Linked DNA regions of Bombyx mori. The main gene of each other region encodes a partner of the protein of the gene in region 3 in a complex. Links are inferred from orthologs where the notes say so. Each region holds a gene or a part of one and is shown on either strand. Other genes may lie near its edges.

The links.
Region 1: dynein regulatory complex subunit 3 (region 3) and dynein regulatory complex protein 8 share a complex: the UniProt entries of both Homo sapiens proteins name them as parts of the nexin-dynein regulatory complex. The link is inferred for Bombyx mori from reciprocal best matches to the Homo sapiens genes DRC3 and DRC8.
Region 2: dynein regulatory complex subunit 3 (region 3) and dynein regulatory complex subunit 7 share a complex: the UniProt entries of both Homo sapiens proteins name them as parts of the nexin-dynein regulatory complex. The link is inferred for Bombyx mori from reciprocal best matches to the Homo sapiens genes DRC3 and DRC7.

The regions. Positions count from the first base shown.
Region 1 is NC_085130.1:5,994,833-5,999,108, forward strand, and holds the start of dynein regulatory complex protein 8, read left to right. Parts: upstream 1-1,454; 5' UTR 1,455-1,587; coding exon 1,588-1,612; intron 1,613-1,861; coding exon 1,862-1,975; intron 1,976-2,480; coding exon 2,481-2,604; intron 2,605-3,055; coding exon 3,056-3,182; intron 3,183-3,999; exon of another isoform or gene 4,000-4,238; coding exon 4,239-4,276. Other genes in the region: heterogeneous nuclear ribonucleoprotein U-like protein 1, read right to left, coding at 620-749. UniProt on the Homo sapiens protein: Component of the nexin-dynein regulatory complex (N-DRC), a key regulator of ciliary/flagellar motility which maintains the alignment and integrity of the distal axoneme and regulates microtubule sliding in motile axonemes.
Region 2 is NC_085131.1:3,776,626-3,780,691, forward strand, and holds the start of dynein regulatory complex subunit 7, read right to left. Parts: upstream 2,818-4,066; 5' UTR 2,639-2,817; coding exon 2,213-2,638; intron 1-2,212. Other genes in the region: calcium-binding protein p22, read left to right, coding at 3,737-3,803, 3,980-4,066. UniProt on the Homo sapiens protein: Component of the nexin-dynein regulatory complex (N-DRC) a key regulator of ciliary/flagellar motility which maintains the alignment and integrity of the distal axoneme and regulates microtubule sliding in motile axonemes.
Region 3 is NC_085117.1:10,151,660-10,155,896, forward strand, and holds the start of dynein regulatory complex subunit 3, read right to left. Parts: upstream 2,826-4,237; 5' UTR 2,557-2,825; coding exon 2,457-2,556; intron 2,385-2,456; coding exon 2,017-2,384; intron 683-2,016; coding exon 510-682; intron 1-509. Other genes in the region: TOM1-like protein 2, read left to right, coding at 3,179-3,233, 3,495-3,742. UniProt on the Homo sapiens protein: Component of the nexin-dynein regulatory complex (N-DRC) a key regulator of ciliary/flagellar motility which maintains the alignment and integrity of the distal axoneme and regulates microtubule sliding in motile axonemes.

The DNA.
Region 1 (4,276 bases), on a different chromosome or scaffold from region 3:
AAAGACGTATACATTTTGTGCAAAAAAAGCTTTTAACTGATTTGATTGAATTTCGTTTTATTTTACTTTGCAGAATCGAGCTCTTCTTACCTATTATTAAGCCTAAGAATAATCATATGAATGAATTTCCCATAAAACAGTGTATACATAAATTGATATCGATGTCGAAGTTTTCAAACCGATTACGATTTGAACTGTTCAGTTGGAATAACTGCAATAACTGATATGCGTCGTTGTATCAGTAAAAACATATAAAATACTTCGAAAACTTAATGATGCTGTACATTAATATTTAATAAATTATTAGATTTTTATGCGATTTTATCTCATGCTTGAGTGTGAATAAAGTCGTAACCTTGATTTTGGCGTCAGATATTAAAATAGGTGTGTTTGCAAATCTCTAAATGGGACAGCAAACTGATGTATGGTTACTACGGAAGTTAAAGTTACTAAGAATCACACTAAATCTCTTAAAGTGGAAACAACAGTGCAACAATGATCCATGATTGATCGACAAATGTACACGTGCAGTAATTAAAAAAGTCCCTAACAACAATTTCAGCAACATTACTAAAAAACTGTACATTACGCATTAAATAATTACATCTGAAATCCTAACCTGTTCCAGTTTTCGCTTCGAGTGCTTTTTTCAATCTTTCTACCAAAGCCGGCTTGTTTCCCTTCGTATCTAACCCGAGAGCACCCAACTCGGACCTCAAGTCCACCACCTTCATTTTAGCAGGATCCATTGTATTAATCGTCTGATAGTATCCACTTCACAACACTTTAAAGTTTTTAAAACACATGTGCTTAAATAATATTAATTCTATTACTATCTGAACGAAAATTCACGACAGAAAAAGCGCCAACTAAATCCAAAATGGCGATTTAGCGGCGCATCAGCATAACGGAAGGAAATGGCGGTATATTATCTATGGTGGGGATTGGCGATTCCAGAATTTTTTGGAATAAGCTATTTGTTGTAAAATTCAAAAGGCCAAGGGTTTCTTATCCATACTACTCAAAAGTCTGGAAGCCTGCTGTTTAATCAGTATAGATTGGATTGTTTTTACAATGAATTTATTTTCTATTTGATTTTCTATAAAAGCATATTTTTGTGTTTTTTAAAGTATATATTTTTTTTTAACTAATATTTTTTGAATGTGGTACGACAATTAAACATCAACATGTCAACAATAAGCTATTAATTTGTACATTGGTTGAATTAAGCTTTGTCAATATTGTGGAGGAGCTGTTAAAACTGGGAGCTAATCCTAAAAAAAACTAATTTATGGATAATAGGTCTAACTGTTTAAAATATTGCATTGTCAACGGTCCTTGATAAGTACCTATGTCAAATTTTGATTTCAGTCTACGTTTTGAAGGGGGTCAAAATCATGTTCAAAGCATCCGTCACATATATACATACTAACTTACAGCAGCTCTGGTGCAAAATAGAACTAAAGCTTCGTCGATGACACTAGTGATAACTGATAGGTTGTGTTGCCTGGTTACGGAATATTTTTTTCAATTTAATACGTGTACTTATTAGTGTTACAAATCTTATAATTAAACTATTAGTTCATTATGGCAAGAAAAGAGGAACCTAAAAGTTAGTTATTATTTGAAAGATTTACTTTATATACATTTAATAATTTATAAACGAGCGATGTAAATACTGTGTAATTTAGTATCACTCATTAAATTTTATTATAAATGAATACATACATAAATACATTTATTAGTTGAAATTTAAACAAAACCAAACATTTTTATTGGTAAATAGATATTACGTCTGGTATAATATCTGATATATGTCATATATTGGTATATCTCATATACCTTAAATGTATCTTTCTAGTTCAACCAAACAATGATTTGGAGAAAAAAATAATTGAAGCTTTCGAAGTATTTGACCATTCTGGGAAGCAAGTCGTAGATGTAAGGGAAATAGGAACAATTCTTCGATCTTTGGGTAATGCTTTTTTTTCTGGTTTTCGTTAAATGTTTTAATACTTTACTAGTGTAATAAAGAGTATTTAAAAAATTCTGACTCTCACGGTAAATTAAAAGACACGAGTCACCACGAGTAGCCGATGGCGCTTGGAACAGTGCCGAAGTATCGCGAAATCATACTAAATATCGTAAGAATACAATAGCCGTGTTTACAACGTAATTACGCATGAAAAAAGTCATCATTTTGCTTTCCGTGCTCCAATTTTTCACCCTTTTAGGATAATAGATATCTCAATTTTAGTATGACAGTGATTATTCACGTCTTCGAGTCGCTACAAATTATTTAGGAGGAATAGTCGGAATGAAGGTGCTCTCCTCTCCGAGCCGGTCTGTGTGAACGGACCCTTAGGCCGTTTTTTGTTTTGGAAACTTCTAAGCGGATAACTGTTTGAGTACTAAATAGACTGTTTACATGGTAAATTTTGAATATAGCAAAAGAGACGTTAAATATATGTTTTTTAAAGGTTGCTGTCCAACTGAAGCCGAGATACAAGAGGTGATTTTAGCAACGGAAAACAAAGAAGCAACTGGAAACGTTCCGTTAACGAACTTTTTACCTTACATGTGTAAAGTCATGATAGAACATAGGTTTGTAATATTAAAATTAAAAAGGTTAAACAATTTTAAAATTTTGACAGTGTGGCTCAATCTTCGTTGTTATTTTTCATATCTTCTTTTTAATATAATACTGGCAGACCCGGCCACACGTTGCTGTGGCTAAGGTTTTTGTTTCTAATTAAAACGCGGCCGACTATGCTAATATCAAAAATTGACAAAGAACAATTGGATTTCACTGTATTGCGTTTACTACGAAATAAATTACCTACACTTATACTTTAGCCTAAGCATCATGTGGTGCTTATGCCATTAAATTGTAGCTTATGGAAACGTTGGAATTTTTGACAAAGCCAATTACGCCATTGATCACCGAGATAAGTAGATTTTGATGTTAGCTTTCTACCTTTCGTACGTGAATTTTTTAATTTAATTTTCCATAAAATGTTCATTATGTCAGGTATTTTATTTATTAATGGGACAGGTTTTATCCGGCGAGCGCTGAAATGCTGTTGGCTGCATTCAGATATTTTGACACGGAGGGACGTGGGTACCTCACTAAAGAGAGGTTCGCCAAGCTTATGATGGAAGAAGGAGAGTCATTTACGCAGGTACCTTAAAATTTCTTATTATTATCTATATCTATATATATAAAAATGAATTGTTGTTAATCAGTCTCGCTAAAACTCGAGAACGGCTGAACCGATTTGGCTAATTTTGGTCTTGAATTATTTGTGGAAGTCGAGCGAAGATTTAAAAGATAGATAGATATGAAAATGCACGGAATTTAATAAAAATAACAATTTTGTTTTTCCTTTGATGTGTCCCCTGTCGGTCTTTTATTTATCGATTGGGGTACTACGAAGTCTGCCGGGTCAGCTAGTTTTAAATAAAACAATTCGTTTTCCGGCTGCCTTCACTTTATGTCGTATAATATATTGTTACGCCGGTAAGAGTAACGCCATCTATCGCTGAACAGCCGAAACGAATACCAAATGATAGCAACATCTAGAACGCTCGAAAAGTACAACGCCATCTATTGTCAGGTAGCGGAAGCACGCATTGAAAGTGCTCGACTTGTGAGGAATGTTCTCGACGATTCTAGGGATGTCGTATCGACTTTATAAGCGTTGCAGAGATGCTGTCGACGTCACCCAAAACACGTCATTACGGATCCTCCCGATCCATTAACGGTGCTTTTAGGTACCACAAGCACCGGTCACAGTCCTCGCCGAACTAAGTTTCTCGCCGAATCTTCTCAGTGGGTCGCGTTCCCGATCCGGTGGTAGATTCTGCGAAGCGCTGCTCTTGCTAGGGCCAGTGTTAGCAACACTCAGGCTTGGGCCCCGTGAACCTTCATGTTAGGGCGAAACTGAAATAGTCTCTCGTGTTTGTGAAGTGTTTTAAGTGTTCTAAGAGATAACACAGTTTCAATTCGTACTTCGATAGAATTTTTATTTATACCGAATCGTATTATAATATAACATTATTTTTTATAATTAATAATCCTAACACTATACAACAATAATCCATAACATTAGTTATTATAAAATAATACCGTGTTATATGTTATGCTAACAAATACTATACTGTTGTATATGGATATGAATTGACTCGGTTAAATTTCAACGAGTATTCTTATGGCTCTCATTTTTTTCATGATACAGGAGGAGTACGATGAAATGATGCAAACAGCGTTAGATCC
Region 2 (4,066 bases), on a different chromosome or scaffold from region 3:
GGGAGGACGTACGTATTTAATGACGCGTATACGTCGGCGTATTCCTGCACAACGGCGATAAAGTGTTGTGCAGTGGAGGCAGCGCGAATGGCGTCGCCCAAAGCGTTAACGCGCTCAAAGTTGATCGACTGAAAGAAGTCGATCGCTAAAGCGAGATTGTCGGACGCGGTCGGAGGGCAAGTCGCGGGAGAGGGACGAGTCGCGGGGGCGGGACGAATCGCGGAGGAGGGAGTTGTAGCCGTGTTCGTGTACGGCAGCGGTTTTGCCCAGGCCGAGACACTGGGCACCGCCGCCGGAACGAACGCTGGCTTAGCCTGCGACGCAGAGGGTGCCGAGGCTTTGATGTCTGGGCCGGAAGCTCGGAGGCGGTTTTGGCGGGCGACGCGGCGATTTATTTTAGGGGCTCGGGGGCAACCACGGTAATTCGCGGGGTGACCCTGTGTTCGACACAGGACGCAGCTAGGCGGTTCCGTCGCGGTTTTTTGGTCGCGAGCGCAGAGGGCCGTGGCGTGATCGCCCAAACACTTAACACATCGGGGGCGCGCGTGACAGTTACGGGAAGAGTGCCCGTACAATTGACAGTTATGGCACTGGCTAGGAGTGCCTTTTTTATGGGGGGCTTCGACAGCGATACCAGAGAGCCTACAGACGGTCTGTGTGTTAAAGATTTTCTTACCCTCGGGGGTAGGCTGGAGAGCGACTAGAACCATATTATATGGCTCCCTACCGCGACCGGTGTGCATACGGTGCACAGAATTCACTGGTAGGCCTTGTTCTAACAGGTCGGCTTTTACGAGCTCTACATCTAACTCTTTAGGGATTCCGCGTATTACAACGCGGAGTTCGCGCTCCTCCTGGAGCGTATACGTATGGAAACTTATACGCTCCTTACGGAGGTAAGAAGAGAGGGCCCTATGGTCGTCGGGTGTTTGAACCTTAATTTGAATGCTGCAGAGCTGAGCTTACTCGCCAATTTATGAATATGAGGTCCCCACTGCAGTTTGGAGTCCACTGTTATACCAAGAAATACGGTTGACTCAACAAGCTCCAATGATTCCTCAGAAACAATTACATCACTATCCACTTGTCTCACATTTAAAGATGGTTTAATACATTTTAAAGTAAATTTAATACATTTAGTTTTCTTACTATTCAATAATAGGTTATTGATACGGAACCAATGAACCACACACGAAATCGCATCATTCACTTCGTCATAGACTTGTAGTTGTCGTTTAATTTTAAATAATAAAGATGTATCATCTGCGAATAATACGACCTCGTGTCGGGACTCAATAAAACTAGGTAAATCGTTTATATATATTAGAAATAAAAAAGGACCCAAAATGGAACCCTGAGGTACACCCATTTTCAACAAGGTGCCTGAAGATCTATTACCTTTCACATCTACTGTTTGTATCCGTCCTGATAAATAGGAAGTAATAAGTTCCAATGCACCATCCCTAATACCATAGTGATGTAGTTTCCTCACCAATGTTTCATGTTCAACACAGTCAAATGCTTTGGACAAGTCACAGAAAATTCCAAGACAATCATGCGATTCCTCCCAAGATTTAAAAATATTTTTGACTAGATAAGCACCTGCATCAGTTGTAGAGCGACCCCTGGTAAACCCGAATTGTTTAGTATGAAGCAGGTTATTTGAATTAAAATCGAATACTTCACAGCTTTCGTGGTCCCGATCCACTAACGGTGCTTTTAGGTACCCCAAGCACCGGTCATTGTTCTTGTCGAACCCGTCGCTTGCACGAAAGGCTCGGCGAGTAAATTAACCCACAGACACAGCCCACTGAGTTTCACGCCGGATCTTCTCACTGGGTCGCGTTTCCGATCGGGTGGTAGATTCTGCGAAGCGCGGCTCTTGCTAGGGTTCGTGTTAGTAACAACGTAGGGTTTTAGCCCCGTGAGCTCACCTCCCGATGACGCTGATATGATTTCTCAAGACCATCAGCTTAGGTAGGAAATACAATTTAAAAAAAAAGCTTTCGCGGTTACGCTGAAGCTTCCGAAAATAATAAACGCGATATTAAATCGTAAGGTTAAAATGTCTATGCGTAAACCAAAGCAAATCGAAGTATTTGTGTATAAAAAATTACTAGTATGTAATAGTATTTTAAACTCGTTATCCCATGTTCGTAAGTGCATTTGGTCAAAGTTACATCTAGCGACATCTATTGTTAATAGAGATTACCTGTAATCCACATTCGTTTGGCGCTTGTAGCAACAAAGGTTTCCGAGGTTTAAAATGAAATAAGAACTGTCGCCTAAAACATTCCGCATAAGCAAGTAGTAAGCGTTCTTTTGGACTGTTCGTGTAGTAGCTTTCTGGAAATTTAGTTCTCGTCTCGAACACTGGTTCGACTATATCCGGCCAGCATAAGTTTATCACACCGAGCTCATAGATGGTGTTGTTCAACGTTTCTAATGTTAAAGGTTCATTCACATCTTTCAAACTAAACACTTTAGGAGATATTTCATCGAATTCTTCTTCTTTATCTGGTTCATCTAATATCTCACTCGCTACATTTTCATTTACCTCCAATAAAGGGTCCAGAGGCTCCAATTCCGATTTCCTTTCTGTCCCAAACGTTTCTGATTGTAGTTTTGGAACACTCATTGTAGATGATTAAGCTACAACTTCTATTAATTGGATTCATTTAACATAAACATGACTAGAATACTCAAATTTCAGTTACCTACGCAACCACGTAACTTTCCTGAATACAGCTGTTTTCAGTGTAACATTCTATTTCCCTTAGTAATTTCAAAATTTCATAGCAATATCAAAACGTTAGGGTACGTTTGTGTTGCAAGCTAAAAACTATTGCCATCGATTAGGATGGCTTGGAACTTCTGAGGATAAAACGACCACAAAAGCCAAAACTATGTTAAACGTTAAATTATAATACGATACATAGGTTGGGGGAAATAAAAATTTGACACGACAGTATAAAATGTACATAAACAGTATAAAATTCTAGCTAAAAAGACCATGACAACCGCTCGTGCAATGCGCAAGGTTATGTGAATTTAGTAAATTGACAAGTTTACATGTAAAATAATATCATATTTAAATCCAATTCTAGCAAAAACATAGCAAAAAACACTACCTTTCAATTTTTTTAATTCAGATCTTCAGCTGCCTTATCGCTTTAAGCTGGAATTATTTAGTGCTTATACCCGTGCGGCCCTCCAAAAGCCTTTTCACAATAACCATTTTAGTATGTGTAAAATTTCGTACACGCCTAAATCTTATCCTATCTGGTGTAATTAAAGCATTGTCTGCCAAATTCATAATTTAACATACAGGTTTGAGGTCGGAATTTTTTCTAGAGCCAGAATCGAAAAAATCATTAGCAACACTATTCAAGTCTGCATACATGTCACAATTACTGTCACTCTCAAATGTCAAAAAGTAAAATGTCAGTGACAGTCTGATCGTGAACATTTCTCAATTTTCCATAGACCTACAATTTTCTCATCAGTTGATTGGCAAAATACTTCAAATCAAATTAGGAAATTTAATTTTTTCACTGTTATTTCAAATGGAATAGTTATATACATTTCATGTTATAAAAATTTTGAAAAACATAACTATCACACATAACCAATGTAAATTATTAAATAAATTCTGCGGTTAATTAATAATTAAGTGCTATCAGGGCTCCCTTATCAAAGGTCTTGGCACAAAGGTTAGTAGTGATTTCACAGAAAGATGGGAAATAAGTCGTCTTTGTTGTTGAGAGAGGAGGAAATTGCACAAATACAGGAAGAAACCGGGTGTAAGTTATTTTCCTTATTAAATCAATTGTTTGTTATTGTAATTATTTATGATGTAGTCATCAAGTGATATGTCCATGCATACTTTAATGAAATTACTAAACATCAGTAACATTTAAAATGCACTGAAACTGATTGAAACACCATTCTGTACCTAATCAATGTTTAACATTTTCAGTCACACCTAATCAAATAGAACGCCTTTATTCCCGATTCACATCACTAGACAAAAATGACTGCGGAACATTATCTCGTGAGGACTTCC
Region 3 (4,237 bases):
TGCAGCAGAGATACGAATTTTGCGATGGATGTGTGGAGTAACGAGAATGGATAGAATACGGAATGAATATGTTAGAGGAAGTCTGAAAGTGGAACCTGTGACAGAGAAGTTGAGAAGTGCGCGTTTAGGATGGTATGGACATGTGATGAGACGAAATGACAATGAGGTTTGTAAGAAAGTGTTAACTATGAATGTGGAAGGATATAGAGGAAGAGGTAGACCTAAGAAGAAATGGATGGATTGCGTGACAGATGATATGTGTAAGAGGGGAGTGAGCGACGAAGTGGTATATGATAGAGGAGTATGGAAGTAGAAAACATGTTGCGCCACCCCAGGTGACTGGGAGAAGGGCAGGAGAATGATGATGACTTGCAATCTTACACAGGTTACAAATCATACACAGGGGGTTCATATCTAAGCAATTCGGTAGTCGCTGGTTTCCGACCTAGACCGCATACCTATTAGATAGCTCTCAGTAAGCCGTGAGCATATTTTTAAAGACAAATTACCTAAACAAAGCTCTACCGTCTTCTCTTTCTGCTTCCGTGACGATTTTGTAATCAAGATATGTAACTCTGGTTAAAGCTGATTTGATAAACTGATAAGCCATAGGGTCGTCGCAGCATGGGTTTCCCTTGAAGCTCACTGAACGAAGAAAACGGAATCTGCGGAGGTAGGCCATCTGTTGAAGGATGTTCAAAAAGCTATTTATGTATAAAGTAAAACTGTTAACAAAGATTGCTTGTGTGTACAGTGGAAATTTAAAAAAAAGTTATGAATGGATGTTAAAGATCCCTTGATGATACAACCCTTAGTATTAGATTTAAAAGTCTCATTTAATAGACGTAAATTATGTGGTCCTTATCTTACGGAATACTAATTCTCGTTATTAATATAACGCTTTAAGTTGATCTTCCATTTATTTTATTGTTTATGTATATCATTTAGCTTTTTTCCCCTACCAAATAGTTGGTAGCTAATCGTCACGGGCTCAGTCTGAAAGAACACTAACCTAACACCATCCTTAGCAAGAGCAGTGTATTGCTGAATCTACCACCGCATAGGGAATTGCGACCCATTGAGAAGATCCGGCAAGAAACTTAGTGGATTGTGTCGATGACGTAAAATTCTTCATCATATTCGAAGAGTTCGACGAGAGCGATGACCGGTACTTGGAGAGTCTAAAAGCACTAAGAGTAGATCTGGAGGATCCGACAAGACGTGCTTTCGGCGACAGCGACTTATCGTTGCCCCGTCGTTTGGGGCGGGTATAAGACATTTGACATGACACTGGGTAGTGGTTAGGTATAGAAGCGGCCACGATAAGAGGTTTTATGTGACGCGCTATTTGTTGGAGTTAGCAATTTTTTTTTATTACTTATATGTGTGGACGAGCTCACAGCCCACCTGGTGTTAAGTGGTTACTGGAGCCCATAGACATCTACAACGTAAATGCGCCACACACCTTGAGATATAGTTCTAAGGTCTCAGTATAGTCACAACGGCTGCCCCACCCTTCAAACCGAAACGCATTACTGCTTCACGGCAGAAATAGGCGGGGCGGTGGTACCTACCCGTGCGGACTCACAAGAGGTCCTACCACCAGTTATTACGCAAATTATAATTTTGCACGATGTTATTCCTTCACCGCGGAAATCAATCGTGAACATTTGCTGAGTACGTATTTCATTAGAAAAATTGGTACCCGCCAGCGGGATTCGAACACCCGTGCATCGCTCGATACGAATGCACCGGACGTCTTATCCTTTAGGCCACGACGACTTAGCATTAATAAAGTTTACATAAATGATTAGGATTTTTCTTTCCTATGCCATTTCTCGTCGACTTCTCGTCAGGTTTGAGCCCCGTGAGCTCACCTACTAGTTAAGGCTACGCTGATATAGCCTCTCAAGGCTCTCAGCTTAGTTAGCTGTTGATCTGTGACACTACCTGTCAATACATATCAGTGTTTTTTGAAACGATATATTGTTTCGTAGCATGATTATTTTTACTTACTTCTTTATAATCCTCTATTATATTATCACCAATACTAAATACAAGCAATTTTTCAAGCAATTCCATGTTTTCCAGTTTCCTGATTCTGTTATGAAACAACGTAAGGATTTCCAAATTTACGAGTTTATCCAAGTTTTCAATCTTTTCAATTTTGTTAAACGATAAATCTAGTTCATTCAGGCCAGTAAGTTGATCCAGATTTTCTATTTTTTCTATTAAATTATGAGCTAAAGTTAATTTCCTTAAAGATTTCAACATCCATAGATGATCGATTCTTAAAATATTTTGAAATTCAAGTCGAACTACTTGAGCTTCATCCAAATGTACTCCTTCTTCGGCAAAAAGTCTTCCTGCTTCTTCAGTAGGCCCTGGAAGGCAACAGATACAAAAGGTTTTTTATATAAGTCCCATTTTTAACCTATCATCTCTACTAAACCCACCGTACTCAAGTATACATCGTATGATCATCGCATTATCAATGACACCAGGCTCGATGTCTGGATATATTACAAGGCTATTCAATGATCTCTTCTCGGTCATCGTTAAACGTTTGCTTGTTGCAAATCAATTTGCAGTGACTTATTTAACAGTTTATTTATGTTATATACCTAGTTGCTAAGTTACATGATTTCAAATAATATGGCGGTTAAATGTGGTTGGTTCAAAATGAAATTATATTAAATGATGTTGTAATGATTATTCATTAATATTTAAAAAGTGGTTAACGTCAAGGTAGACATTATTATTATCATTTTTGATTCATTTCATGTTTCACATTCTGTATTTTCGTTTTACTCCTTATTTCTGAACATACAAAGTTTGACATTTAACTTGGTTAAAGTTGCCAGTTTCTTAAATGAAGTGTTTCGAAGAAATATATTTCGATATTTTTAAAAGACAGCATAGGATAGTAATCCACAGAGAAACCTTTTCACAGTTCAAACAGGTTCATATCCTAAAATTGCGGAAACGTCGGAAAATTATCAACGTTTATCCACATTTTTAGGGTATTTAGTCAAATCGCGGAAAAATCCCAGATTTTTGACATTGGTCTTTGATAGTGTGGGGTAATTGGAGACAGAAACTGGGCAACTCTAGTTTTTAATGACAAGTGAGATTGGTGAATTGCATCAATAGATAAATATTTTATTATTTTACAAAAATGTCGTTTTTTGGTGTAGGGAATCCCTTTTCTACGCCGGTGGGTCAAAAAATTGGTAAGTTTCATAAATTTATTACGAAAATTGATGCTAAAGTTGTAAGTTTATTGTTCCATGAAAGAAGTACATTTTCTTTTTGTTGCGCACTACAAGATTCCAATTTCTTATGTAGTGCAATTGCGGTATTCGCATACAAATGTTACATACCGCAATATATACGAACATTTTTATAGTATTAAAAAAAAATCAAATATTATGTATCTGTTAATTATTTTGACCTCACGATCACTTGTGTGTTTACATTAATTTTGATTATAGAACAAGCCACAGATGGCGCATTACCATCTGAAAATTGGGCTCTGAACATGGAAATATGCGATATAATAAACAGCAGTACGGACGGACCTAAAGATGCCATTAAAGCAATAAGAAAAAGGTTGACTACAAGCGCTGGGAAGAACTACACAGTGGTGATGTACACGCTGACTGTCCTGGAAACATGCGTAAAAAACTGTGGAAAGCCGTTCCATGTTCTCGTCTGCAATAAGGAATTTATATCAGAGTTGGTAAGTTGTACTATATTATTATGTACCACTATGTTTATTACAAAGCTCAGGAAGTACAATAGACACATTCATTTTATGTGAATGTGTGCAATTCAGCCTACCCTACCAATTTCGGTCTTCCTTAATTTCACACACAAATCTATGTAATGAAAAATATGAATTGCATAATCAAGACTGGTAGGGTTATTTGTCAGCTGGCATGATTCATTGCTTCTATCCAGTTTACTCTTACAAGATGAAATATTCATTTAATGAATTGCACTATGGTGCATTATGAATTTATCTTAATGTCTCAAGTAGGAAGTAAGAAGTTATGCTCTTGGGCATATCTAGATTTACACAATTTTTATCCATTACAAATTATAATTTACATAATGTTACACTATAAAATGTACAATGTAATGTAAATAGTATAATGTTGTTATTATACAGTGCATTAAAGACTTAGATATTATTACAGCATTTCATCTTACATAGTCATAAAAATATTTACAT